Canis lupus familiaris: one gene and its partners. The protein of the gene in region 1 interacts with the protein of each later gene in a pairwise test. Links are inferred from orthologs where the notes say so. Each region holds a gene or a part of one and is shown in the gene's direction. Other genes may lie near its edges. The genes, in order: CTNND1, KCTD6 and ZBTB33.

What was found.
Region 2: the proteins of CTNND1 (region 1) and KCTD6 interact in binary tests that used the Homo sapiens proteins (3 or more experiments, as listed by UniProt). The two-hybrid records come from large-scale screens. The link is inferred for Canis lupus familiaris from reciprocal best matches to the Homo sapiens genes CTNND1 and KCTD6.
Region 3: the proteins of CTNND1 (region 1) and ZBTB33 interact in binary tests that used the Homo sapiens proteins (3 or more experiments, as listed by UniProt). The link is inferred for Canis lupus familiaris from reciprocal best matches to the Homo sapiens genes CTNND1 and ZBTB33.

Annotation. Positions count from the first base shown.
Region 1 is NC_049239.1:38,900,384-38,904,017, reverse strand, and holds part of CTNND1 (catenin delta-1), read left to right. Parts: coding exon 1-30; intron 31-438; coding exon 439-974; intron 975-3,634. UniProt on the Homo sapiens protein: Key regulator of cell-cell adhesion that associates with and regulates the cell adhesion properties of both C-, E- and N-cadherins, being critical for their surface stability.
Region 2 is NC_049241.1:32,434,982-32,439,357, reverse strand, and holds the start of KCTD6 (BTB/POZ domain-containing protein KCTD6), read left to right. Parts: upstream 1-1,488; 5' UTR 1,489-1,538; intron 1,539-4,376. Other genes in the region: PDHB (pyruvate dehydrogenase E1 component subunit beta, mitochondrial), read right to left, coding at 842-895, 979-1,020. UniProt on the Homo sapiens protein: Probable substrate-specific adapter of a BCR (BTB-CUL3-RBX1) E3 ubiquitin-protein ligase complex mediating the ubiquitination and subsequent proteasomal degradation of target proteins.
Region 3 is NC_049260.1:92,972,722-92,976,948, forward strand, and holds the start of ZBTB33 (transcriptional regulator Kaiso), read left to right. Parts: upstream 1-1,328; 5' UTR 1,329-1,586; intron 1,587-1,739; exon of another isoform or gene 1,740-1,820; intron 1,821-3,283; 5' UTR 3,284-3,347; intron 3,348-4,227. UniProt on the Homo sapiens protein: Transcriptional regulator with bimodal DNA-binding specificity.

The DNA of each region.
Region 1 (3,634 bases):
GATGGAACTACTCGGCGCACAGAGACCACAGTAAGCTGAGAGTTGTGTGAGGTCTAGGATGATGGAGAAGGTCTTCATTGGTGGTGGTGGTGGTGGTGGGGGATTAAACACTTAATTAGGGTGGATGAAAGGTATTAATCTGTAGTGAAGGCATAAAGAAAGTGATCTCTAGCCAGATAGGAAAGATAGAAGAGATATGGGAAAATCAAATGGAATGAGGAAGAGAGAAATATACAAGGTTGCCAGTAGCTTCCCTTATAGTCATGGTTACTGCCAGCACAGATTTCTTGCTTGGGCACTAATAAGATGGAGAGAAAGGGTAGTGGTAAATGTAAGGCATTTCTAGATAAAGTGAGCTTGCCATAGGGGTTTGTTTCATTTCTTAGGTCTAGAATTTAGGCTTATATTGTGTTCACTTTTCTCTTTCCTTACGTGAAGGTCAAGAAAGTGGTGAAGACTGTGACAACACGGACAGTACAGCCAGTCCCTGTGGGACCAGATGGGCTGCCTGTGGATGCCTCATCAGTTTCTAACAACTATATACAGACTTTGGGGCGTGACTTCCGCAAGAATGGCAATGGGGGACCTGGTCCCTATGTGGGGCAAGCAGGCACTGCTACCCTTCCCAGGAACTTCCACTATCCTCCTGATGGATATAGCCGCCATTATGAAGATGGTTATCCCGGTAGCAGTGACAACTATGGCAGTCTGTCCCGGGTGACCCGCATTGAGGAGCGGTACAGGCCCAGTATGGAAGGTTATCGGGCACCTAGTAGGCAGGATGTGTATGGGCCTCAGCCCCAGGTTCGGGTAGGTGGGAGCAGTGTGGATCTGCATCGTTTTCACCCGGAGCCTTATGGGCTAGAGGATGACCAGCGTAGCATGGGCTATGATGATTTGGATTATGGCATGATGTCTGATTATGGCACTGCCCGTCGGACTGGGACACCCTCTGATCCTCGCCGACGACTCAGGTAGGGAAGAAAGGGTGTTACCAAGACAGTGAAAAGTATTTCTTCTTCTAAGTATTTTTTTTTAATCAGAGACACTTGTGTCTTCCCTTTTGTGACTTTACTAAATACTGACTTTCTTTTTTTCTTTTTTATGATGGAAGTCCTATATTCTAATGACTTGTGGCTGTTGGTCTACATCCTGAAGAGTGGCCTTTGCTTTCGTGCCAAGCCTTGCTGCTATTTCTGCCTAAGATCTGGCCCCTTTTTTGGTGATAAGCAGCAGCACAAAGGAGCTTGGTGCCTGGTGCTATGGGATATTCACTAGCTCCTATGAATTTCTTTAGCATCTGGTTTGGTATTAAGACAGGGTTGAGGGTTTAGGCTTTCAGGGCCAGAGTAGACAGTTAGGTGTATGTGACAGCCCTCCCCATGGTGGTTTTAATTTCAAGTTAAGAACAAACCTTGATCTCACCAAAGCCCTGATAACTTTCTGTTTTGATTTTTACGTTTGGTTATAAAGTGAAAAGGGGGTGGCATCCTTTGAGGGTGGTACATTAGTGACACTCTGGAAGGTCACTAATCAGCTGCCTATTCTGACTTTACTACTCATATGGGATTCTTTGGTGATGTGAAAAAGGGAGTGATTGATTTTGGGGCTGGTAGAAGGTTTGCCTTGAAAGAATGCTTTGGAATTGGGGGTTGGCAAACCTTTTCTGTAAAGGATCAGGTAGAACTATTTGTGGGTTTTTTTTTTTTTAAGATTTTGTTTTTTATTTTTATTTTTTATTTTATTTTATTATTTTTATTTTTTAAATTTTTATTTATTTATGATAGTCACAGAGAGAGAGAGAGGCAGAGACATAGGCAGAGGGAGAAGCAGGCTCCATGCACTGGGAGCCTGACGTGGGATTCCATCCCGGGTCTCCAGGATCGCGCCCTGGGCCAAAGGCAGGCGCCAAACCGCTGCGCCACCCAGGGATCCCAAGATTTTGTTTATTCATGAGAGGCAGAGAGACAGGCAGAGCGAGAAGCAGGCTCCATGCAGGGAGCCTGACATGGGACCCCAGGATCATGCTCTGGGCCGAAGACAGGCGCCAAACTGCTGAGCCACCCAGGGATCCCAGATAGAACTATTTGAATAGGCTTCGCAGGCCACATATAATTTTTGTTGTATGAACGTTCTTTTACAACCTTTAAAAAACATTAAAAACCCATTTTTAGTTCTGGGACTGTACAAAAACAGGTTTGGCCCATAGGCTGCTGGTCCTGCTTTAGAATAAATCAGAGACCTAGTGTTTTCCAGGCAAGGAAAAATAATAAGAAAGAAAGGAGAAGATTTACAGATGTCTCGGTGCTAAAGCTGTCCTAGCAGCTGTTGCTGAATTTCTATATGGGGTCATAACCTTCTAAAGCAAATTCCTTGGTGCTCGTTTTACCTCCTATTAGGTTTGGTTAATAGCGATCTGGGCTAGTCCCCGGGTAGAGGTCCCATTATCTAAGCCTGAGTCATTCACCTTTTAGGTATTGTATCATTTGGACAGCTAGTCCAACTCCCATGTGACTCACCTTTTATTGGGGGAGGGGGCCGTGGAGTGGGCACCAGACCTCAGCTGGTGCGACTTGAAGCAGTGATAGATAACAGCTATCACCAAAGGAGTCTGCCCAGGGCGGTGGCCTGTCTGCTTGTTAACAAGTCCACTTTTCTGACTTCCTCATTAGTGGAGTTGGACCTAGGTGGGTGGGGGTGGCCAGGTCATTCTCTGCTCTGGCAATTGACATAAAGAGAGCATTTGGGCCTGGTTCTTGGGTCCATTCCAGGGTGGCACTGGACTTGGAAACCTGCTTGACTAGCAAGAACATTAGCTGCTTCCTGTTCCAGGCCTAGGAGAGTAATACAAGGTCAAACGGAAACAGTAAGGCAGAATGATTAGTGGAAAAAGCACTGAACCAGAAGACTTCTGGTTCTAGTTGTGCCTTTGCCACTAGCTATATAGCCTCAAGCAAGTCATTTAATCTTTCTGGGCACAGCTTTGTTATTTGTAAAACAAAGGAAAGAATGTCAAGATCCTCTGCTTATGGAAGAAGGAAATAATACAACTGAATGACCAAAAGTCCTGGCTATGACAGTTGTTTTTGTAATTGCTTATACTGAAATAATAATGAAAGTTAAACATGCTCACTACAAAACTAGAAAAACCCAGAAAGGTACACCAGCGGCCATCGGTAAAGAACTACGGTTAACATTTTTGTGCACTTGCTTTGAGTTCTTTTTTCCTATGCATGTAGATCTGCCCTGACCTTATTTTTCCCCTACTAAACTGGAATCTTAACATACTGTTCAGTAGCCTCCTTTTAAAACGTAGCTATATAATCTGTTCATTTTGTTTCAGTGATATTAAAAAATAGTGATTTTTACTATATGATTTGTCCATCTGAGTTGCTGTTGAGTGGTTGATGTTGACAGCTAAGAGGCAAGGCCTCTTTGCTCTGGCTAACCTTGAGGTTTTGGTGACTGTGGGAGGGGTTTTGTGGAACAAACAACAGGCTTATTTGGAGAGTTCCACACAATAGATTCTCCTCTCCTATGGGAGCCAGAGGGTGAGATGAGCTCGCAGATAATGGGTCTCTTCCTTCCTGGTGGTTATGAATAAATAATAGTGTGACAGATTCACCCTCTAGTG
Region 2 (4,376 bases), on another chromosome or scaffold:
AAAGAAAAAAGAAAAAAAGGAGGGGGTACGGGGTAGGAAATTCCTCAAGTTGAACACAGAACTACTATATGATCCAACAATTCCACTTCTAGAGATGATCAAAAGAAATAAAAGCAGGGACTCAGATACTTGCACACCAGTGTTCTTAGCAGCATTATTCACAAATCCCAAAGGTGAAAACACCCACATGTCCATCAACAGACAGAATGGAGGAACAAGATGTGATATATGCATAAGATGGAATATTATTCAACCTTAAACAAAGAAATGAAATTCTGACACATGCTACAACATGAATGAACCTTGAAAACATATGTTAAGTGAAATAAACCGGATATAAAAGGACAAACACTGCAGGATTCCATTTCCAGGACACACCTAGAATAGATAAATTCAAAGGCACAGAAAGTGCCAAAGAGGTTACCGGGAGCAAGAGGGAAATGGGACGTTCGTGTTTAAGGGGTGGAGAGTTTCTGTGTGTGATGGTGATAAAGTTCTGAAGACCGATGGTGGTCATGGTCTCACAACATAGTAAACGGAAGTACTGCCGCTGAATATACACTTTAAAATGGTAAATCTGGTTATGTATATTCTACTTGAAAAATGTAAATGGGGCGGTTGAGGGAGGAAGCGCGAGGTCTAGTTTCCTCAGATCGCCCACAGATTCCAGTGAGCCTGGCCGGGGCGACTTGCTGGTGTGTCCGGCGCTGGGTCGCAACAGAGGCACTCGGAGTCCCACGCAGGATGTGGGAACCCGTGGACCTCAGGGCCCGTGCCGTCCCTGTCCCCACGGCGCAGGCGCGTCCCTCCCGGGATTCGGGCTAGCGCCCAGGCCACCTACCTGCAGCGCCGCCGGCGCCGTCCGGTGGAAGCGCCTCCTCAGCAACCCCGACACCTGGCGAAAAGAGAGAGAGAGGACGCTGAGAGGGGGCGCAAGGCGGGCAGAGACCACGCGGAGGCACGCATGCCGCTGCCTACCTGTTCCAGGGGTCTCCGCATCAGGCCAGACACCGCCGCCATCTTGACCGTGTCCTCCAGCCGCCGCCGAATGACAACACCGCAGGACCGCAGTCGCCTCAGGCTCCGCCTCCCGCGCCAGCTCAGGCCAATGGCAGCGCGCGGCGCCTGCGTGCCCCGCCCATCCGCTGCCGGGTGAGGGGCCGAGGGGCGGGGCCTAGGTGGCGCGTGGGGCGGTACTACCGCTGTTTCTGGGGCCGGGGCCAATCAACTTCCCGGGAGCGGGCGGCTGCTGCGGTGCGCGCTGCGCGGCGGGACGCGTCTGTAAGCGGTGCTGCCTGAGGCGCGGTGCCCGGAAGGCAGGTTCTGAGGAACGTTAGGTTGAGGCTGCGGGGACCTTCAGAGTTGGGTCAGCCTTTTGCGGGCACTGAAACCCGTAGGGCGCCAAGTGTCGCCTGCGCACGCTCTGAACGAGCCCGGTGGTCCCCGGGCCGGACCGTGCTGTCCGTCTGTTGCTCCCTGGAATGCGAACCGGAGTGTTCATCGAGGCATGAAGCGCCTACTGTGTGCCGGGCATCGTAGTAAGTGCTGTCCAGCTCCTGTAATTCTCACAGGAACCCTCCCGCGTGATGACTGTTACCTCCACTTTTCCTCAAGTCACTTCGGGTTGTCAGTCGTCAGAAAGTCCTTCATCCAGAATTTTCAATCTTTTTTTTTGTTTTTTGGTTGGTCATTTCAAGCGAAATGTGTTAAAGAGAGCTTTTCGCTTCCTCGACCACAGTAAAATGCACATTCCCCCACCACCTCAGAAAGTTCCCTCAACGTTTCCTCCCGATCGTTCCCCACACATCACCCCACAGGCAACCACAGATCTGATCGCCATCACCGTAACTTAATTTGCCTGTTTTAGAACTTGACGTAAAGGGAATTCTATCATTCTTGCGTCTCGCTCAGCAACATGTTTTTGTGATTCATCCATGTCGTTAAGTGTATCAATACTTTATTCCTTTTCTTTTTTTTTTTTTTTTCTTTTATATTCTTTATGCCCAACCTGGGGCTTAAACTCATGACCCTGGGATCAAGAGTCCCATGCTCTTCTGAGCCAGCCAGGCACCCCTCCTTTCTTTCTTTAAGTTTTCTTTTCTTTTCTTTTCTTTTGAAAGAGTTTAAGTGTCACAAGAAATTGTGAAACTGGTGCAAAGAGCATCCATGTGACCTTCAACTATCTTTGCCCAATATCTTGGATGACCATAGTACATTGTCAAATCCCCCAAATTGATAACGGTGCAATGCTCTTAACTCGGGTAGAGACTTTATACAGCATTCATCAGTTTTTTTTTTTAAATTTATTTATGATAGTCACAGAGAGAGAGAGAGAGAGGGGCAGAGACACAGGCAGAGGGAGAAGCAGGCTCCATGCAGGGAGCCCGACGTGGGACTCGATCCCGGGTCTCCAGGATCACGCCCTGGGCCAAAGGCAGGCGCCAAACCGCTGCGCCACCCAGGGATCCCCCATTCATCAGTTTTTATATGCATTCTGGCAGGGGTAGGAGGAGTGTAGTATTATAGAATTGTATTAGACGTACAGATTCACATAACTACTACCACAGCCAGAATACAGAATTGTTCCATCCCCACAAAGCACCTCCCTCCTGTTACCTCATTGTTACCTCCTCCACCCCTAACTCCTGGCAACCACTAATCTGTTCTCAATCACTATAATTTGTTATTTCAAGAATATTTCAACACAGAATCGTACAATATGTAACTCTTGGAGATTAGCTATTTCCACTCAGCCTAATGCTCTTGAAATCCATTCCAGTTGTTGCGTGTATCAACGTTTCTTTATATCTCTAAGTGGTTGCATGTTTATCCATTCACTCCTTGAAGGACATTTGGTTTGTATCCAGTTTTAGCTATTACCAATAAACCTGCAATGAACACTGGCTTTTTAAACATTAGTTTTCATTTCTTCAGGTAAATACCGAGCAGTATGATTATATTGGAGTGTTTTTCCACGGTGGCTATACTATTTTTTTTTTTTAAGATTTTATTTGTTCATGAGAGACACAGAGAGGCAGAGACACAGGCAGAGGGAGAAGCAGGCTCCACGCAGGGAGCCCGACATGGGACTGATCCCGGGTCTCCAGGATCACACCCTGGGCCGAAGGCGGCGCTAAACCACTGAGCCACCCAGGCTGCCCCAGAGTGGCTATACCATTTTACATGACCTCCAGCAAAGTATGAGACATCCAGTTGCACTAAATGCTTGCCAGTGTGTGATATTATCAATATTTTCTATTTTAGCCATTGTAATACATGTGTAGCAGTGTCCCTCATGACTTTAATTTACATTTCTCTAATGGTTAATTATTAAACATCTTTTCATATGCTTTTCTGCCATCCATCCTTGATGAAGTGTCTGTTCTTTTGTTCGTATTCTAATTAGATTGGTTTTTATTGTGGTAAAATATATATCACATAAAATTTACCACTTTAAGCATATAGTTCATTGGCATTTAATATGTGCATATTGTTGTTCAATCACCACCACTATCCATTTCCAGAACTTTCTCTCTTTTCTTTTTACTTTTAAATAATCTCTACACCCAGTGTGGGGCATGAATTTAGGATAAGGATCAGGCATGATCCTGAGATCGTAAGTTGCACGCTCTACAGGTGGCTCTACAGCTAGGTACCCCTCCTGAACCTTTTCATTTTCCCAAAAGGAAACTATTCATTAAACAGTAACTCTCCATTTCCGCCTTCCGCTAAGCCCTGGCAATGACCATTCCATCTGTATAAATTGGACTGCTCTACCTCATGTAAGTGAAATCATACAGTATTTGTGTGTGTGAGTGAGTGTGACTAGCTTGTTTCAGTTATTGTAATGTCTTGGAGGATCATCCATATTGTAGCATGTATCAGAATTTCATTCCTGGGCAGCCCCGGTGGCTCAGCGGTTTAATGCTACCTTCAGCCCAGGGTGTGATCCTGGAGACCCGGGTATTGAGTCCCATATCAGGCTCCCTGCGTGGAGCCTGCTTCTCCCTCTGCCTGTGTCTCTGCCTCTCTCTCTCTCTCTCTCTCTCTCTCTCTCTCTGTGTCTCTCATGAATAAATAAATACAATCTTAAAAAAAAAAAAAGAATTTCATTCCTTTCTAAGGTTAAGTAATAGTCCATTGTATGCATATATCCCATTTTGTTTATCCATTTTTCTGTTGATGGACCTCTTGGTTGTTTTCAATGTTTAGATTTGTGAATAATGCTGCTATGAACATTAGTTCACAAATACCTATTTGAGCCCCTACTTTTAATTCTTTGGGGTATAACCTAGAAGTGGCATTGCTGGATCATGTTAATTCTGGATTAATTTTTTTGAGGAATAACCATTCTCTTTTCCATTGCAGATATACCA
Region 3 (4,227 bases), on another chromosome or scaffold:
GTGTATTTCTTATTTCCATGTGAAAATACAATCACTGTGGTATTTTTCTATGTGGCTTTACTTTATCGAGGAGAATGTAAAATAGATTAGGAATGGTTCGATGGTGACATTCTTGTCTGATTTCAGGTTGAAGGACATTAGATATAGTGATTTTTTCATTCTGGAATATCCTGACGGACATTTTCAGCAAGATTTTTGTAGGAAGGAAGCACAGGGATTCTGGCTGAAAGGTAAACAGATGCAAATTAACGTTTGGGGGAATGGATGCAATATTATCCTATACTTTTTTTTTTTTTTTAAGAAAATGAAGGTAGTGGATGGCCTTAATTGTTGACGAAAAAAAGCTAATATTTTGGCTCCGTAGTTGGATGCGATAAATAACCCGCCCGAAGGGAGAGATTTTGCTCTCCAAACACCCATTCTGTTGCTTCATTTATCATGGTACTCAGGCAGAAGTGTATTAGCAGAGGGTTTTAAAAAATTACCACGGCTCACTCATTTATTCATTCATTAAACAATTATTGAACACCGACTATGTGTCAGATGCTAAAACCCCCTGGGGAGGAAATGTTACGTAAAAAGTAAAAATAATAAATCAACAGTGCAAGTGTTCATTTATTCCTGTTTCAGGATACAGCTCAAATGGGGACATTTAGTTTGCGCTTTCCTTCTCTGTGTTCTACGCCTTGCACAAAAACACTTTGGTCGACATTTGTGTACCCATCTAATGAGCTCTTTGGGAAGGGAGAGACCCTGGTTTACTCTTTTTTGTGTTCCACGGCACCTAGCCGGAGATTTGGTATAGCTCAGACACGTGGTCAGTAAACGCTGGTCGAAGCGAAGGAATGAAGATAGTACCGCATCGCCTAGTATTCAATTAAGAAAACTGTCTAGTGTCCTAGATTTATTTCTTAAAAATAGTTTCTGTAATGTCGTTTAACTTGTCATCGTCTAACTTGAATCATCCAGAGTCGATCAGTTCGACCCGATTATATTTATTCCGGTTATATTTCAAGGTGGCTCATCGTCTAAGATCCGGGCTAATCGGGCAGTTTCAAACTTGCAAAAGTAGTGAAACTCATATGGTCTCGAAAAGTTTTTCCGCCCTAGCAGCTTGCGCCCAATTTCGGTGAAGGCGACTCGCTTCCCTCCCGTCCCCGCCGCCTGCGACGGACCGCATCACCCCATCTTTCCCTTCCCTTTTTCCCACCCTTTCGCCCTCCGGAAAGGGCCGAAAGGCTCCCAGAGCTTCCCAGTCTCTCTCCGCCCCCTGCGGAAGGAGCCGAAGGCAGAGCAGGGCGCCGAAACGGGGGCGGCTAGGAGCTCGGGCCCTTCCGGAAAGACCCGAACTGCGCTCGGAGGAGGAGGGCGCCTTCGACTTCAGCGCTGCGTCCCCGTGCTGTGCCCTCTGTCGGCGGCGCGGGGCAGCTGTAGCAGCGGTGGCGGCAGCCGCGTCGACGTCGACCAAGACTGGAGCGACGTTTAAAGAAGGAGCCGAATCGCCGCGGAGTCTGGCTTCTGGTTGTTGGAGGGCTCCCACCCGTCCGCGCGGCCCGACGAGGAGAAGCGGCGGCGCCGGGAAGCAGGTGAGGACCCGGCCCTGCGCCGGGAGGGGCGAGGGAGCGCGCCCGCTGCCTCCGTCGCTGGGCCGCGCCTGCGTTTGCATTCTCCTCACTTGAACCAGGAAGCGGCGGAGTCGGAGGCTCCGCTCCTCCGGCCCTTCCTTTGTGTGGGCCCGGGAGCGAAGGAGGGGACGAGCCCGGAGGGCCGCGCCGCGGTCCCCTCCGCCGTCAGGGGCCGAGGGGCAGCCGGTGCCCCGGGTAGGCCCGGCGCGTGGGGAGCCCACCGCGGGGACCCACTTGGCTTTTTCCTAGCCCTCCGCCTGCCTTTTTGTGCCTCCTTTTCTCCTCGTAGCCCCTACTTTGATTTAGAGCTTTTCTGCCCGGCCCATCCTCCCCTCCCGTCCCCTTCCCAGGGCACAACAATGCCGCCTGCTTGGCCTCATCCCCTCCCAGCACCCCACCCTCCCGTTCGCCACCTTCTACTTTCCCCGGCTTGCCCGAGGACCCCCGCCCTCGCCGTGTCGTTCGTACCTCCATCTGGATTTGCAGGAAGCTGCCTTTTCGCGTGAATTGGGGTGAAAAAAAAAAAGCCCTCGGCTGCAGCCGGCTGGGTGCAAATGGGGAAGAGGGGGTGGAGTAAGGAAGATGGGGTTCAGCTGCCGCAGGGAGCCGCGTGTCGGTTCGCTTCGGTCGCGGATGGCGTTTCTCTCTTTTCCACCTTCACCTGCCCTCAGTCAAGGGTTTGTCTCACAGGGATGCGGAATGGCTTTTCCGTAGGCAGGGCGCAGGTCTCGGGGGTGGGTGCAGAGCGCTTCGTGGCGTTCCTGGGCCCACCCTGACGGGGAGACGCGGGAGGAATCTCAACAAAATGAAACCAATTCCCAGTGTCACCTGGACGCGTCCGTTTTATTGCATTACCCCGTTCCGAGAGTCCATTTGCAAACGACAAAAATTGCATTAAAAAAAAAAAAAACCTATCTACCTACTTAAAAGCGACTTCTGTCGAAATCCCCGTATTTCGGAAGCCCTGGTTGCTGGCTCGCCGTCCAAAGGTCACCCTTTCTGATGAATGCCTTGGTGGTAACCTGGAATTCCTTGGTACTGTTAAACGAGCAACGCCTTCTAACGGATGTTTCAAATCGTCATTTCTAGACTTTTTGCCTACTTTTTTGTTTTTAAGCTGCAGTTTTGAAAATTTCGAAGATGCTTGAGACGCCCCACCTTCCACGTGTATATAACTTAAGCACTGTGACGACAGTGCCACTATTTTGGTAACTTTAAAGGGAAAGAATGTTGGCAATTAAAGTGTTTCTCTACTTAAAGTACTTATCAGCTAGTTGTTCATATATATGTAAAAAAATATAAAAATTAGATATATAAAAATTAAGTATATATTTAATATATGTATATATTTTCAACAACTCAGCGGCCTTGTTACTGGGAATATATTCTGTGACTTCCAAAAATAGAATGTTCTGGGGGTGGTACACTGCATTGCTCTTTACTGACATCCCCATCCCTTTTTCTAGAGTAATTGTCTGTTCTCTTCCAATAAGTTTATGTTTTCATTTTCACTAACACATCTGGTATAAAAAAGTTCTGCTACCAGTGCACATAATTCTTTACTTAATTCTTTACCAACAAATTGAAATGTTTCGTGTTTTCGTGCAAATAAGCATTAAGAAATGGTGACCTTTCCTTTGTCTTATTTTTTTTCACAGTACCATCTGTTGACTTCGCTTGGCACTCTAACATTTCACCTCTGGAGATTGTAAGAGTAGAGAGGTGAGGGGAAGGGGCAAGGAGATGATGAAAGGGGAGAGGGTAAAAAAGGTGTTTCAGAGTTTATCTAGATGAGGCACCCCAATTTAAATAAGAAAGAAAACTGACAGTCTAAAGGTAATAATTGGCAGCGTTTATAAACACTAATTCAGTCATTGGCTGCAGGGAGTAGCTTTTGAATGTATTTTTAAAGATGTTCTTTTTTTTAAGATTTATTTATTTATGATAGACATAGAGAATGAGAGAGGCAGAGACACAGGAGAAGGGAGAAGCAGGCTTCACGCCGGGAGCCAGATGCGGGACTCGATCCCGGGACTCCAGGATCGCGCCCTGGGCCAAAGGCAGGCGCCAAACTGCTGAGCCACCCAGGGATCCCCTGAATGTATTTTTAAAGACCAGATAAAATTTAGGAAGAGTATAGGATAGATATTGCACACAGCAAGCTTTTCTGAACTGAAATCATTCATTTACAGGTGAAATAACTTCTGTGTGTTCATGATGAAGAGTTTTCTTAAAGTTTTAAGACCGTTAAAACTGAACTCTCAAGTCTTCTTGAGGACAGAACCCAAAAGTGGAACTAAGAAAATTAATTCTAATCTTAAAAAAACTGCTCAGTGGTGACGCATGTATCTGAGATTCAGAGGAAGAGATTACCGTTCAAATCTGTAGATCAATTAAAAACTCGCTTGTCTCTTCTCAGGGGGAAGTCATGAGATTTGATGCATGGTCCAAAAACCAGCCTGTATGAACAATTGACATACAAGCCAAAAAAGTTATGCCAAACTTCAGTTAAAACTTGAATACACTATTTAATGTTGCCGCAGCTTACATTCTGAATGATAGAGTACTTCTTGGTTTTCTTTTTTCTAATCTTCTACTCCTT